Lepisosteus oculatus: one gene and its partner. The protein of the gene in region 1 purifies or fractionates together with the protein of each later gene. This does not show direct contact. Links are inferred from orthologs where the notes say so. Each region holds a gene or a part of one and is shown in the gene's direction. Other genes may lie near its edges.

Region 1 (7,892 bases):
GTAGAATTTTAAAAAATAAAAACACAAAAAGCTGCTACTGCAAACATGCAATATTTTAGAATCCAGAAGGTGGAGCTCTTTCTCTCGTCTGATTGTGCCGTCTTCAAGGAAAAAAAAACGCTGTTGTGTAGCATCAATAATTAATAATAATTGCTTACACTTATATAGCGCTTTTCTGGACACTCCACTCAAAGCGCTTTACAGGTAATGGGGACTCCCCTCCACCACCACCAGTGTGCAGCCCCACATGGATGATGCGACAGCAGCCCTAGTGTGCCAGAACACTCACAGCACACACCAGCTATCAGTGGGGAGGAGAGCAGAGTAATGAAGCCAATTCATAGATTCATTTCTGATCAAGCCTCAGCACAATCAGATCAATGTATTACGAAGGCAGAGATTCAAATTGATGCGTTCGGTGGATTTCGCCCATGACATGCTGTCGGCCACACCCTTTATGACGAAACATCTGAAAACGTGGTTTGGAGCGGGAAATGACGGGATCGCCTTTGAATAGTTCATTGAGGGAGTTTCAAGGTGTGATTTTTGTATGCCAGCTGCTTCACTTGTACGACGTAAGTCAATGATGTGAGGTTTGTACCTTCAAAAATGATGCCACAATCTGAACAATTTAACAGTGTGAATAGTACATTTCATAACGCTTTTAACAAGGACCACTGGAAACAATACTTTTTACACACTGTTATGATATCCAAACACTTTAGCTTACTGAAAGAAATCTAAACGCCAAATTCAGTACACCTAAAATAGCTATGTGGGCCATACTTTTTGATCATGTTTTCCTCTGACCAGTGTTGGTTTCAACCTGTCTGCTCATCAATAGAATCTCCAGCAAAATTGAAAACCGAGTTTAAAAAAGTGACAGAAAAAAAGTGAAAGGAGACAATTCAGTCCATCCTGTGCTTGGTGGTTTGAAGTAGCAAATGGATCCAAGGTTTTCATCCAGTTTTTTCTTAAACAATGTTTTTTGGCGCTGTACTATAATATCCAAGTAAATTAAGTAGAATTACAAACTAGAGTATAAAAGTGAGCTTCAACATGGGACTTAAAAGTGCAAGACCTCATACAGGCCAGGAGATCCTTCCAAAGTCCATCAACCAGTGTGTGGAAGTTCACTTTAGGAACCCAAGGGAGGCCAGAGTCCACAGAAAGCAAACATGGAATATAACAGAGAGTTAAAAGTCCAGTGATGTTTTCAGGAGCCAACCTGCCCTTAACGCTGCACGGCAGTTCTTTGAATTTTATTCTGAAATCCGCAGGGAGCCTGTGGGAGGAAGTGGAAACAGATGACACATGACCGTGGATTTTCGTTTGGATTGGGATCCGAGCAGTGGAGTTGTGAACGTGCTGCAACTTGCTCAGAACATGATTTGATACACCAGCAAGTACTGCATTCCAACAATCAAGCCTTGAAAAGTCAAAAGCACGCATTAGCATTCTCTGTTAGCATTGAATTGGGAGAGACGTGCATTGATGTGTTCAAAGGAACTAGTAAAGGTTTTATTCCGTGCCAAAAAGAGACGAAAAGAGACACAATGTTTCGGCTGTGGAGTCATCTTCAGTTGTGATATGTTCAGTATTCCAAAGACAAATACACATATTCAGCATTGTACTTAAAATGTAAAGCTCAAGTCAAAAATGACACTACGTTTCCTGGCCTCCGTACCATACTTCGACAGATTCCAAGACCATCAATAGTTTAACGAAGCCTGACACATTTGTGGAGTTGATAAGGAAAGTCAATCATCATAAATCCAGTCTTGTAAGAGCCCAGACATGAAAGATTTTGTCGCATGTGTTTTTAACAGTATCTAAGCAACAAATATCATACAGTGCTTGAATAACATTTTATTGTAACATCTGGGGGTCATCAGCTGAGAATGACAGATGATTCCATACCTATGAAGAATCTGACCCAATGGTAACTTATTGGATGATTGTACCCACTATACCCATGCACCATTTAAACTCAACAGCATGTTTTTTAAAAAGTAAATTAAATTTGCTTGTGCTGATGATCTTGAGAAATGCAATGCTTAGCTTTACCCAAAGTCACTTTTAAGTTAAACCACACATAGTTTGTGATTACTATCTAATGTACTATGGTCTATATATATTTGGCTAGATTAATCAAGTACGTATTACTTTATACAGTAAAGGGAAGTCAAAATTGAAAATATGTATTTGCTGACCTTTCAGAAGCGTACAATGTGGCAGGACCCAGATCCCTAGTATAAAATTATTAATTTCCATACATTATTATAAAATGACAGGGAAATATTTTTTGTACGAATGTGCTTTTTGTGCTTAAAAGGTGCGTGACCAGCCGAGATTACAGGGACACATAGTGTAATAAAGACCGTTTACTGTAGTGGACCAAGAACAGGTGGCATGCTATATACTATTTCTTGCATTAGGGATTTCTTTTCGCATACCCCAACTTGCTCTCCATGAGACACACAGACAGGGGGAGAAGCTTGGGGTCAGAGGGCAGGGTCAGCCATTTATATACAGCACCCCTGGAGCAGTTGGGGTTCAGGGCCTTGCTTATGAGCCCAACAGAGTAGGATTCCTCTGCCGGCCGTGGGAACTAAGGTCCGGAACACGAACACACAAAAAAAGAAGCAACGCTCATCAGCAGTTCACGAGTATCGCTAATAAGCTGCTTCTTTACTACGCATTGACCTAAAGCCAGGCTTACCAAACAGCTCACGTGCAGATGCGTGAGATTTTCACTGAACTGCGACAGCCTGCTGTAGAACATTTGCCAATAATACTAAGGTAGCTATTGGCTGACAGTTATTGAAAGGCTGGTGTCTAAATCTCGCTAAATAAGTGCCTCCTGTTCTCAGTGTGGAATGTGTTTTCCCCTGGTTTTCAATTGCATGTTCTGGTTCATGTTTTGATCCTGAATAAACCCATTGGGTTAACTTTGTCAAGGCCTTGTATCACAACAACTGCACACTAATGACGTTTAAGCTTAGTCGCACATTTACTTGCTACTGTTTCATTATAAATTAATGAAACAATCTTTACAAGGTGGGATAAAAAAATGATTTCATCTGAAATCATGAGAGTTCATTTGGACAGTTATTGGTTTTTAAAGGCACTAATAAAAATAAGAGGTGTCAACAGGTCATTTGCATACCATTCTGCTCCAATTGACTTAGACTAGATTTCTTTTCATTTGACTCCAATTAAAAATGCTTTCAATAATTACATTGGGAAAAAGTACACCTGAATGCATATTGAGTTTCCTTTAAAAATATAATTTAAAAGCAATAACAATTTTGTTTTCTTGTCCACAAAAGGCATCTTAATGACAATTTGTGATTTACATCTCTTTAATTGCACAATTAGTGGAACACATTTTAAAATCTTGGCATAATACAATTGACCTCCAAAATTAACTAAATGTATTCTCCAAAGTCAGATGTTTAAGAGTTATATAGTAAGGTTCTCCTAGTATTTTTTTAAAAAGCTAAATTGGTCATTACAGCTTTTGGAGGGGTTCTGTTCTATACTGCTTTCTGTGTCATACAGACCACTGGGACAGTTTGCTGTCTGCATAATCCATTGAAAAAAACTAAAAAATGTGCCAGAGACCACATAATCGAGGCAATAATATGGATCTATTATCCAGTCTCGGCAGCACCAGCCATCTGTCTCCTCTAAGCACGGCTGGCAGGGAATCCAAAGACTTCTGAAAGAAGGTCTCTTGAATTTGTTTGGATTTATTAACATTTTCCCTTGACAGAACTGCAACTATTTGCGTCGATGGTTCAGGTCGAGAAGCCTCAACTATTCCCGAGCAGAATTTTGGAGAATGTGGCGGAAGGCGACGCGCTCTTTCACTGCATCTCAAAAGAAATGTCACCCGAAAATGCGTGTGGACTCGGAAGATGGCAGTCTCTCTCACTGTACGGTATTTCCGTATAATGCATCGTTTCAAACAGTACGATAAACGAGTGCCCCTTATTTTTAATATTATTTAAACAATACCCTTTTAAAGTAATCAAAGCAAGCTCATCGTCTCCTACCCATGCAGTACATTCATAAAGAAGAGCAGAAATCAGAGACACCTGCAGTTCCGTAGGGGTTTTGAATGAGTGTAGGAAGACATGTTGTCTAGGAGGTAAACTGAGCCTTGTGGGCACGCTCTGCAGTGGACTGGTATCCTCCCATTGACAGGTCAGGGCTGTCCAGTCCGGGTCATGAGAACGTGCAGTTTTTAATTTCGGCTCAGCTCTTCATTACCAGCGCTTCCCAGCTCATCGGGCCCTTAAAGACACCTACATGAACAGCAGACACTAAAGCCCTCAAGACAGGGACTGGACAGCCCCGATCCGTGAAGGTACTGAAAATGCTTTCGTTGGTGCTAACAGTCCAATTTAACTGTAGACGTGCCTGACTGCGTTGTACGTTGAAAACGGTGTAGCTTATCATTAAAAAAAGTCTTGTTGCGTAAGTTGCATTAAAACCTTCAGAAGGCTGGGGAAAACAAAACTTTTCCAGTTTCATAACTTATTTTCCCGTTTTAAAAAAAAACAAATACCTATTTTGCCGTGGGAAGGCAAATATGCCACTGGCATATGTATCGGCTCACCACATATTTTGACATACGTTCACCAAGGAGAGGTCAGCAAATAAAAAAAAAAACCCAACTACATCGAGCCGTCCAGCGTTTAATGTAATTCAGACAAACCACAAGATGGTGCCAGTCCCCAGGACAGCCTGCCCCGTGCACCAGCCATTAAGGTAACTCAAGCTGCAGGGCGAAGCGATACCGTCCGGCGGCGGAGCTGGGCGGCCGGCGAGGCGGGAGCGAGCGGAGCGTGTGCGCGTCAGGCGAGTGGAAACGGGGCGGAGGGAGAGGGCGCTCCTGCCGGGGAAGACGCGCGGCGCGCCTGCGACCTGTGCGGACTGCGGACTAGGAAACCGGGCGGAAAGAGAGAAGTTTATTTACTGACAGGGACCGCTGGGCTTTGAGAACCGGGGACGCCGAGGGGCGGAAAGAAAAGTAGCAGGTTAGTAAAAGATGCGTTGTTGTTTGCCGGGGCGAACCAAAGTGACTGAGGGTCGGTAGCGGCTACTGAAACTCGCTACGGGACACGATACTTGAGCCCCCATGTTTCTCTGCCGAAATGAAAAAGAACCTGTTCTGTCTGGCAGATCCGGCTGGAAAAAAAACGCCTTAGGACGGTCACCACGGCAATTTGCTGACCATTATGGGCACCTACACGTGTAGTTTGTATTTAGTGTGGGGTGTTTGTCTCCCTTTTGTCTCGGTGTTTTTACTGTTTCAAGTGCTACAGCGCGGAGTTGACTAATCTCATTAGAAAGCCGTGCCTTGCGGTTTTGATTCAAGTGCGGTGCGTTTCTTTCACCTCCTAGCAGCTAGGACCTCATGGCCTTTCCGTATTTATTAAGCATCTGTATCAAAGTGACACTTGTGGGACCGCGTATCTAATGGAGATCGCAAGGAAACCGTGTTTGGTAAGGCGGCGTAAACGCTGCATGTTGTAGGAGCAGTTTCAACGGAGGGGGGGGGGAGATTTCCAAGGAGGGCAAAAAAACTTGTTTTATTGTATGTTTTGGTGAAAAACAAATCGGGAACCGAGCGAGCGGTGCCGAATGTGTTCATTTGCAGATCCGATTAAATCGCGGGGGCAGGATATGGTCTTTCAGGTACAACGCCACGTTATTTAAGGAATGCCCCGGGAGACGCGAGCATGCTCCGATCTTGTTAAGGGTTCACAAACGTGGTTTACAACTCGGTGGGCCCCAAAGACGCCCCCCTCCACACTGGCCCGTTTGGGGAGGGAGTACTTTCACGCAGAGCAGCGGATGGGGAGCAGATAAGCGAATTGGGTCCTCTGGTTGTGTGTGGTTTTGCCGTCGTTTGATGTAGTAGCCACAGCCACCAACCTAAACTGCATTGTTGTTCTACTTAAGTCGAGATGTCGGGTTTCTAAAAGCAAGGATTTTCTTAAAAAGCGCAAACCACCTGTTTTCGCCTGCTTTAGGAAATAAACTGATACATACGTCGTGACTACGACTAAGATTTCTGTGGTTTCAGCGCGTTGTGGGTTTAAGGCTGGATACACAAACTCGTCGCTCCTGAGGAGAGAGGTGGAGATTAGATTTTTATCTCACAAAGGCAACACCGCCGTAACTGCTGTGGCATTCTGACTTGTCTCAGTCTGGTATTGCGAAGAGCTGAAGTACAGTAAGGTCAGCCTGGTGGGGAGTAAATCCGTCGAGCTCCCCGTGTGTGCGTGTGCGTGTGCAGCCGGACTCCTGCGGTACCGTCTTGGACGCAGCGGGCTGTCGTGAACCGGCCGAGTACCGCGTTTTACTGCGACTACGCGAGGAGTTGTGTCCATCGGAAGCCGAGCAGCCCCGGACGGTGCTCTCTTTAAGCCCGCCAGCAAGAGCCCCGCGCCCGGCGGCAGCTGCCGCGCAGCCCCGCCGGGGATCTGCCTGATGCGGGACGCGGCTCCGGTGCCGGGGCGCTGCGCTGCTCTGTCTGGGCCAGTCGGTGCCCCCGGTGCGAGCAGCCGGGAGACATTCCAGGGAGCCGGACGCGAGTGCTGAGTCGGCTGGCGACACGTCCCTACAAGCCCGAGGTGTAGGTAGGTAAGAAGCCACCGACAAATGCCCTTCCTCCCTCCCGCCCATTTCAGCCGTGAGGACGATTTTCTTTACAAACCCGCGTTTCACTAAAGAATTCGTTTTGCCGGTCGTCGTGTTTCGGATTTTTTTTTTTAAAGAACGTGGTTATAAAACCCTTCATGTTGGGTGTTGGTCTTTTGTTTTGTTCACCGGTAGTCGAGCTGTTTTGAAGGATATTTTCTTTCCTGGCCTTTAAAAGGCGTTCACTCTTCCTACCTGTCTCATTTCAGGAAGAGGTTGCTCTGTCCCTCCCCCTCCAACTTTCGCACTATGCGGCGCAAAGCCCTGTTCCCTTTAAAGTTTTTTTGCAAGGATGCCGTTTCGTGAAAGCAGCGGCCGGTTGGCCAGCGAGTTTGGAGACTCTGGCGGGGAGTGTCGGAGTAAAATTCAACAGGAGAAAAGAATACACCTGGGCACGTCTGATCTAAATCCGGCAAAAGTAGGCCATTCAGTGTTGAGATAGGATGCGTGGGACATGAATCTGGCTTGAAGGTGAAAATGCTGTATTTTTAGTGCAGTTTCTGAGCAAGGTCATCTTATTCACTGCAGATGACAGATTACGCCACCTTCAATCTTTTACAGCTTTTGTTTGGCAGTGGTTGGGTGACTGTGGTCTGATAGATACTTTATTCAGGTGGGTAGCTGCATCAGCATGCGTAGGCTGCAAAGGAACAAGTAATAGGTTTATTCCACGCTGAAAAGAGAAGGCTCTACGGCCGAAACGTTGTGTTTTCTTCTCTTTTCAGCATGGAATAAACCTATTACTAGATACTTTATTGTCCACGACTGTGTAAATTTGTCTTTGTGCAAAAAAAAGTGCAAAACACACGCGTTTAACGTGAAAGTCACATAAAGTACATGTAATCACAAAAGCCGTCTGTACTGCATCAATAAAGGGATGGATAAATTGGTAGTCGGGGGACTACATTTACATACATTTAGAGAGCAGTTTTACTGCAGAGGAGACAAGGGACATCTTATACATGTTTGTATTTGAATTTGGTATCCTGTAGTTCTCCCTGGTGGGTGCCTTACAAATTGAAAATGGAGTGGGTACTTGGATTCAGCTGTGATGTTGCCTTGCCATTCTAAGAACTCTATTATCGAGTAAATTGCTGATCTGGGCCCATTGTTTTTCCTGCCATTTTCACAATCTGATCAAATTCATGAGTACTCTTTCTCGATTCATTGGAAGG
Region 2 (7,848 bases), about 18 Mb from region 1:
ATAATAACATCTGATAAGTTCCAAAAAATGTTTAAGTCTTTTTAAGCAGTACATTAAAATCTGGGTTATTCCTGAAAATATCAATGTCATCTTTTTGGTAGAACACATACAGTATGTATATTGCATATATATTATGAATGTGTACATCTGGACAATTCCATGACTAGGAATCCCCATGCAAAATCATGCAATTGCCAGGATTGTGTGGTTTTGACCTGGCCTTGATACATGCCTGACTGCTTGGGGCCCTGTAATGTTGCTACTGAAAACTGCAACATTTCTCTCTTGAAGTGTCCAGCTACCCTGGATGGCTGTGGGTCTACTACAGTAGGTGCCAATGAATTGGTGCCATTTTAAAAGCTTGGTCTTTACCCATCCAGGAATGTTGTGATGCCTGAACTGGTAAAGTTAGGCTATGCCTAACTGGAACAGTATAAAAATAATAATTGGTGATTGCATACATAAATCTAGAAAATGTTAAGCATTTTTGAAAGCTTCCAGGCGAATCCTTATTGACTAACTTTAAAAGTGTGAGTGAACTGGGAGAAAACCCAGAGGGAAATTAAAATAACACTGTCAGGTTTGGATGCCCGCTGTCTGCTGTGGATGTGAAAAGCGTCCCTTACCTACAACATGTGAGAAGCAAGTCTGAACCCGGTTTTAGGGTGATAAACCTGAAGCATACTTTAAGAGTGCTTTTTCAACAGCAGTAGTTCGAAGCTTGATAATAATAGTGATTCAGGAGCCCCACTTTGACAAATGTCCATCAGATTGCCACTGGAATGATACTTTTGATACTAACTGCTAAGTTTGCAGTTAAGTAGTTTAACAGTTTTTTCAAAGGAGCAGTTTGTAGTATAGGATGTGTATTAACAAGAAAACAAAAATGGCAGTCAGGCTGTCACCTGGGTAGTACAGAAATCCTGTTTCATTATACTATAATTGCATTGTTGCTTCTGTATATTTAAAAGTTGGAGTTAAATGACCAAACCAAACAGATTTGGCAAAGAATAAATAATGTTTTGGGGTGTATTTTGCAAATCGCTTGATTACATGTGCGGTGTATATAAAGTACCATTACAATCAATGAGGCACAATTAGGAAGCAATATCTAGGTGTGATGAAACCTGCTGTTTCAAGTCAATCAGTGTGTAATGGCTCCTTAAATTATGACAATTTGAATTTTGAGAACATATCACAGCTATGCATGACAGACGCGGCTTTTGATGCTCATGAAATCTACCAGGTTTTAATCCAATCAGTGTAGCAGTTCACAAAACAGACACAGAGTTTCAAGAACAAAATGGTACTTGTGTATGGTATGTGGTACAGTATATCCAAGGATGACAGTAACAGTCAACTGTTAATGGTATTCTCACTAGAATGGCACTTACCACTCTCAGATTTAATTGCCCAAGAGGTTTTTAAACAGCATTAGCATGAGTACAAAGAAAAAGATAGTCAGACTGGCATTATGGTTTATACATTCATCCTGTTGAAGCTAGAGATGTACAATTTAGAGTTAATTGCCCAAACAGATTTTGAGCAAGAGTAGTTTGCATGATGGGTCATGTTTTTCAAAATAGTGTGTGATTTCTTGCAGGCATAAAAAAGTACTGTAACAACATCTTAGTTACAAATGATAAAAAGCTTTGGATGTTGATGAAACCTGTAAAGTCCAATTTGATAGATTCAGTAGTTCAAAAGGCGACGTTCAAAAGGGTTTCTGAGCGTGCAGGCCAGCCTACCATCCTGGTTGACACAGTTCTGGTCACACATTCAATGGTTTGTCTATTCTGGTAAATCTGACTAGTATGAACTTGCTAATCTGTCTGTCTGTGCAGTTTCAAAAGTTCGGAAGAAAAAATATCGCTATTATCTTCCAATATCTGTCTTCAAAGTAGAAACTTGATCACAGTAAATGTTTAAGTGAAACAATCTGCTGTACAACATGTTTAAAAAAGATATTTCATTCGAAGATCTAACAGTTGTGACTAGGAAGTGTAACAAAATTCCACAGAATTGCTGAATCTGTCTTTTGTCTGTCTGAAACCCTTTATCAATGTATGGTGTGGTACAGAAATGCTGAGTAAGATATTCAGGAACCTGGGATAAGCTGAAGATGGCCAGCTTGTACACATTTACGGATGTGACAGGCATTAGTGCTATGTCTGTAGATAGGAGTTTCACTACCTGATTGAAGGGTGTGGGCATACTTGAAATTTGTCTAATATCTGGGGGATTAATTAGCCAATCTACAACATAATGGTGACTAATTCAACTATGCTGCTGTACAGAAAAAGGATTTCAAACATACAGACTTTCACAATCAGGAAAAGTTGTCCTTTCAAAACATTTATGTTACAAAAATTATACAATGAGTATAGGTGCATTATTTCTTGCTTGTCTCCTTTACTTTCACGGCTATAAGATTTTCAATCAGTCAGAATAAGTAAATACACTTACAGTGTAATGATATTATTGGCTGTATTTCAGCCAGTCTGGGCAGGATATAATAAATTGTGCAGGATATCATGATAGTTTCCGTTGAGCAAAACAGCAAATACTCGTGCAAAATACTAATAAGTATTATCCTTAACAATAAAAGGAAAAAACATAATATATCATGCTTCTGAATTTGCTTTATTTCTGTAGTTGTTGATTAATGAAACATCTAGAGATGTATCATAGAGTACTGTATACAGGCTTGTGGAATTACACACCTGAAAACATTATTGTTTATTTTTTATAATTATAAAATTGTTTCTTTCAGTAATATTGAAATGGAAATTATTTTGGGGTGACAGGGTGAATGTATTTCTAAAAAAAATTTTGAAGATAGATTTTATAACAATTTAATCACAGTGATGATTAACACTTCTGCCTCAAAGCTCTCACATCCTGGGTTCGATTCTTGACCGGGTCACCTTCTGTGTGGAGTTAGGATGTTCTCCTTTTGATCATGTAGGTTTTTGGTGGGGTTTCTTCTGACCTTACGAAGAAATAATGGCCAGGTTAATTTAGACAAAACATCTAAATTGTCTATGTGCTTGTATGTGGCTTATTGATATTGTATGGATGAACAGTAAAAATATTCTAATTATTTCCTCTATTTTTAGCATTACAAAACCTCTCTGATTTAAAAGCTTTGCGTTAGGTCCTACAAACAAGTAGACTTGGGGTATCCATGTCCAGACCAAAAAAAAGCTGCTGTATCTGGAGGTTATAAGGTCAGCTTATAAGGAAACAATTGAACTAATTATTGTATTAATTGGAACTATTAGCAACAATTTCCAGCTCTTAAGGTGCTTCTGATTTAATTATATGTTCAACAAAAGCGATTTCATTCACAGCCTTATCAAATCTGTTACATAGAATAAGTTTAACCTTGCAAAACATGCATTAGACTTGCTTTGTGCTTCTCAATGGCTAGGTTATGAGGTTATGTAAGCTTCAACTGACAAACAACAGGAGGATCTCTGGCTACATAAAGGCCACGCACTGATAACGTGTCCTTAAGGATATTCCTGTCATGCCAACATGTGCAGGAGGTCATTAAAGGAAATGGAAAGTACAGAGAGTACTGGTGAATGGCGAATGCATCCCATAAAGCTCTGTGTTGTGAAGAGCAATACAAATCCCAAATCACCTGCTTTATGCCGATTTCCTCACTGTTCCCTGCCCCTTCTCACGTACTCCGTTCTTTTGTTCTCCTATTCCTTATTTATTTGCTACTTCCCCACTCTTCCTCACACCTGGAGAAGGCTCCACAGTCGAAACGTTGAGCGGCTTTTCTTTACCTTTCAGCATGGGATTAATCTTTGCCTGTTCCTTTGCAGCCTATGCGTGTTGATGTAGCTCCCTGCTCAATCGTCTTCAAATAAACCTGAACTATGAAAGTCTGTTCATGACAGATACAGTATGCTCTACTGCACGTACAGTACCTGTAAGAATAACATTTCATGTCCATGTTTCATTTTCACGTTTTAAAGTGTTGGGGTAAAAGAAAGACAGACCAGAGGCCAGGCGGTGTTCCTACTGTACATTTACCTAGCTTGGTAAAAGGTCGGAAGTCCTGAAACCATTAAACTGGTACAAGCAGTCACGGGCTATGTTCCACATGTGCAGAGGCAGAAGGCACGTTCAGTGACACCAAGGAAAATCCGTCGAGCTAGACCCTATTCACACCCACTTTGAAGCCAAGCTGTGACAATGGCATCCGATGTGGGTGGTGAAGCGGAAGAACCTTGAACACCTTCCCATGGCATTGGGGTACCCAGAAGTAGCAATCGCTAAAAAACAGAAATATCCAATCCGGACAAAATGCATCTGAAACCAGCCATTAAGATTTCACAGAAAACGGGATAATACAAATGCGTTTTTTACAAGATTATAAAACACATATTTAATTTAGTTTTTGAAATACTATGTTGCCTTTTTTTTTACTGATGGGTCTTTTACGTGCATCTTCACAAAACATTTTATGAGCTTATACTGTATGACACTCGAGTAATATTAATACTCCTCACGATAATTATTACATTTTGACGTTTTTTACAGTCGTTTTCCGAAATGACTACAAAATATGCGTACAAAACGCACACAGTGAGTAGCCTGATTTATTTAAAATTCCCGGATAATGTTCCAATACTCCGACATCTTAACATTTAAACCGGAGCTAAATGCCAATAAACGCCGAGGAAATACTGCATCACTCCATAGAGTGTGTTTACAGGGATCTCAGATTTCCTGTTGAAGAGTTTTGGATTTCCTGAGTTCCTGTGCTGTTAGCTCCCAGATCCTGTCCATTGTAACTGGCCATGTAACCATGCTCACATGGTAGATTTTCCTTCCTGCCCCTGCGTGGCTGCTGATCTATTCTCGGGACCCACATGAAGACAAATCGCTGCTCTTTATTCGAACCCTTTCTGCAGTAAATGGATACAATCTTTCCTGTCGCTGGATTAAGTTACATGTACAAAATGAACGAAATATGATGGCATTTGGAGATATTTTGTCTTCTTTGCAGGAACTACTGGCTTTCGATTTGCCGTACAAAGTAAGGGTTGTGATTGGAATTGCAGCAGTCTTGGTAAGTTAGTGATTAAATTAGGCGTGGCTGTTGTTACATTGTTCAAATATTTATTTTCCATACATCTAGATGCATTGTGGTCATCTCGTTTAGATGGGAACGTGCCCACCGAAAACTTTTTTGCTGAGGTACTAGAGCCTTTTTTAACGCCCTGTTTTTTTCTTGCCTTGTTCATTATCATATCGCCATGTGAACATTATTACCGTTATCTCTGCTACTGTCCCTCCCTTTGTGTGATGGGCATTAAGACGTATTTGGCTAACAGTTATTCTGATCATGATAGTACATATGCTTAACAAATTATATTCTAAATATATTTTTTAATTAATAGAACTTTTTTTAGGATTTAACTATTTCCAGACGATTATTAAAACTGTTGGGCAGTTTTCAGTGTTCGTTGTGCGTATATGAGAACAAAAAGCATATATTTAATGGTATCTCAAGTGACTTTCGTTTATTTTATTCAGGTAATTTTGTTAAGGTGACTGTAAAGTCATGCGGTCCTCATCATCCCGATTATCGAGTTTTTCATCAAAAGATTCTCTATGGAACCGGTAAGAGAGGATTAACATAATTTATTGCACACATTTTGCTTACATTCTGGTTAATGTCTTTTTTTGTGCTTATTTTTCTTTCGCCTTTTGCGAATTGAAACAACTTATACTCGAAAGCCCGGCATAACACATTTAAAATGCTAAAGGTGCACAGGCCGTGAGCTCAAGTTAATTAAATCAGAGTGCACGCTGTAACAGACCGTAACAGAGTATTTGTAAATTTGACTCAATATTTTTCAGCAATGGTATATTTTCAACAGATCGTTGGAACCGTGGCTTTAACACTTCAGCTGCTCAATTACAGTTGTTGCACATTCTCTGCTACAGATCGCCTGTAGGCTGCGCTAGTGCATCATTGCGCCCACCGAGTTTGACAGAGGGTCGGGGCACGATATCACAGAATGAAAAGTGTTACGTCGACAGAAGTAGACACACAGGGATACTTAGTAACTCGTGTTTAACTGTTCGCCTGCGCTGCTTTATCCGTAGAATTTGTTTGTCACCACCCTTGTCTGTTTGGAAAAAAAATGCTTAAATGTGAAGTTGAAAGGAAATTACACTTTGTAAGAGAAACAGTATGTTACGACACAACGTGATAATTCCCATATTAAATTGTTTTATTTTAATGCAACACTTAATGCTCACGGAATGCAATGCATTACCATAGTATAATACTGTAAATGTATAATCCCCCATGCGGGCCTCCAAAAATAGCAATAAATCAGTATTACTTGTAGGGATATATGGGGCACTGCGGTTTTTCTGCACAGCAGAGGGTTAGACCCTGGCGTGTTTCTCAACGATGAGCCCGAACGAAAGCGAAGGCGGGTGGGTTTTAGTAGTCGGAGATAAAGCACCTTCTGGGCTAGTACGGTTAGAAATATAACGTCGTAGCGGTAGCCTGTGCTTTTTGAAGGGGGCATGCTCCACCCTTATTGTCCTTTTTCAATTTATTTTTTTGTACTGTAAACAACGCAGGGCCATCACTAAATTTGCATCGTAGTATGCAATGGAGATTTCAACGACGAAGACGGGATTCAAAGCATTTTGAAAATGCGTGCAATTCTAAGGACCGGTTCTGGCCTGGACGGCTACAGATGTCTAGCTTTTCAGGGCGGCTGTATTGTTTGTGATATTTAGGCATGCGCAGAGTTCTTCCTTGTTTGTCCCTGAGGTTCGCGGTGGGTGGGTGAAAGGAAGAGAGAGAGAGAAAGAGTGCGTGTATGTATGTGTGTGTGAGTGAGTGAGTGTCAGAGAGCAGAGATCGTCAGGAAGAAAAAAAAATAGTGGGAAGAGAAAAGGGGGAAAAGAAAATCTCAAAACAGACCGTTACAGCTGCTGGATCTACCCAATAAGTGGAATTGCAGGCGCAAACACCTACATTTGCGGAAAACGTAATGAGGACATCTGTTATGCTCCGATTTACAGCTTGTGTTGGTGGAAGCAAAGAAAATAATTAAAACTGTTGTGGACAGTGTTGCAATAGAAGCAGAGGTTACGGAAAAGACTGGAGGGGAGAAGGGGGAAATTACTTGGAATCCCCTGTAACCAAGGGGACTGAAATCGGCTAATTGCATAATTTCAAACAAGGCATCTGTTCTTATTTTTGCAGCTTTTTTGTTTCTGATATTGTAGTAAAAAGACACACATTTCCTCTCCTTGGCAAGTTTGCTCTTTAATGATTTAGGTTTTCCGTTTTTTCCCCCCATATCCCCTTTTCGCGTTTCCTTGCTGAAGGATGCCGGATCAGATTTCGGTGTCCGAGTTTCTCTCGGAGACTACGGAGGATTATAATTCCCCGACCACGTCCAGCTTTACCACCCGCCTGCAGAGCTGCCGGAATACCGTCAACGTGCTGGAAGAGGTAGGGGAGAGAATCACATCGCTGGGCGGCGGGGCTTCCAAATAATACGATTCGTTAAAAATGAGTGGTGCAAGCTACACTGGCAGTCGCTATATACTTAACTGATGAAAGCGTGCCATTTTAAAACGGTACCTACAGAACAGTATTTTCATATACGTAAATTGCAATGCACGGTTGCGATCATTTCCCCCCAGAAAATGAATGCCAAACACCAGCACCATAGATCTGCTTGCTTTTTAATGCTCACAAACCGATGCATTTCAGTGCAACTGCTTGAGACCCTTGTTTATAAACAATTGTTACTAACAATTCAGGCACGTAACATTGTATTTGGACAC

What was found.
Region 2: the proteins of arhgap12b (region 1) and asap1b purify together in Homo sapiens (co-immunoprecipitation; 3 studies listed by BioGRID and IntAct, with this or other methods). This does not show direct contact. The link is inferred for Lepisosteus oculatus from reciprocal best matches to the Homo sapiens genes ARHGAP12 and ASAP1.

What each region holds. Positions count from the first base shown.
Region 1 is NC_090701.1:39,396,148-39,404,039, forward strand, and holds the start of arhgap12b (rho GTPase-activating protein 12b), read left to right. Parts: upstream 1-4,826; 5' UTR 4,827-5,048; intron 5,049-5,810; exon of another isoform or gene 5,811-6,656; intron 6,657-7,892. UniProt on the Homo sapiens protein: GTPase activator for the Rho-type GTPases by converting them to an inactive GDP-bound state.
Region 2 is NC_090701.1:21,623,700-21,631,547, reverse strand, and holds the start of asap1b (arf-GAP with SH3 domain, ANK repeat and PH domain-containing protein 1), read left to right. Parts: upstream 1-4,803; 5' UTR 4,804-5,092; intron 5,093-5,156; exon of another isoform or gene 5,157-5,220; intron 5,221-5,559; 5' UTR 5,560-5,587; coding exon 5,588-5,646; intron 5,647-6,433; exon of another isoform or gene 6,434-6,448; coding exon of another isoform or gene 6,449-6,474; intron 6,475-6,756; exon of another isoform or gene 6,757-7,040; intron 7,041-7,383; coding exon 7,384-7,510; intron 7,511-7,848. UniProt on the Homo sapiens protein: Possesses phosphatidylinositol 4,5-bisphosphate-dependent GTPase-activating protein activity for ARF1 (ADP ribosylation factor 1) and ARF5 and a lesser activity towards ARF6.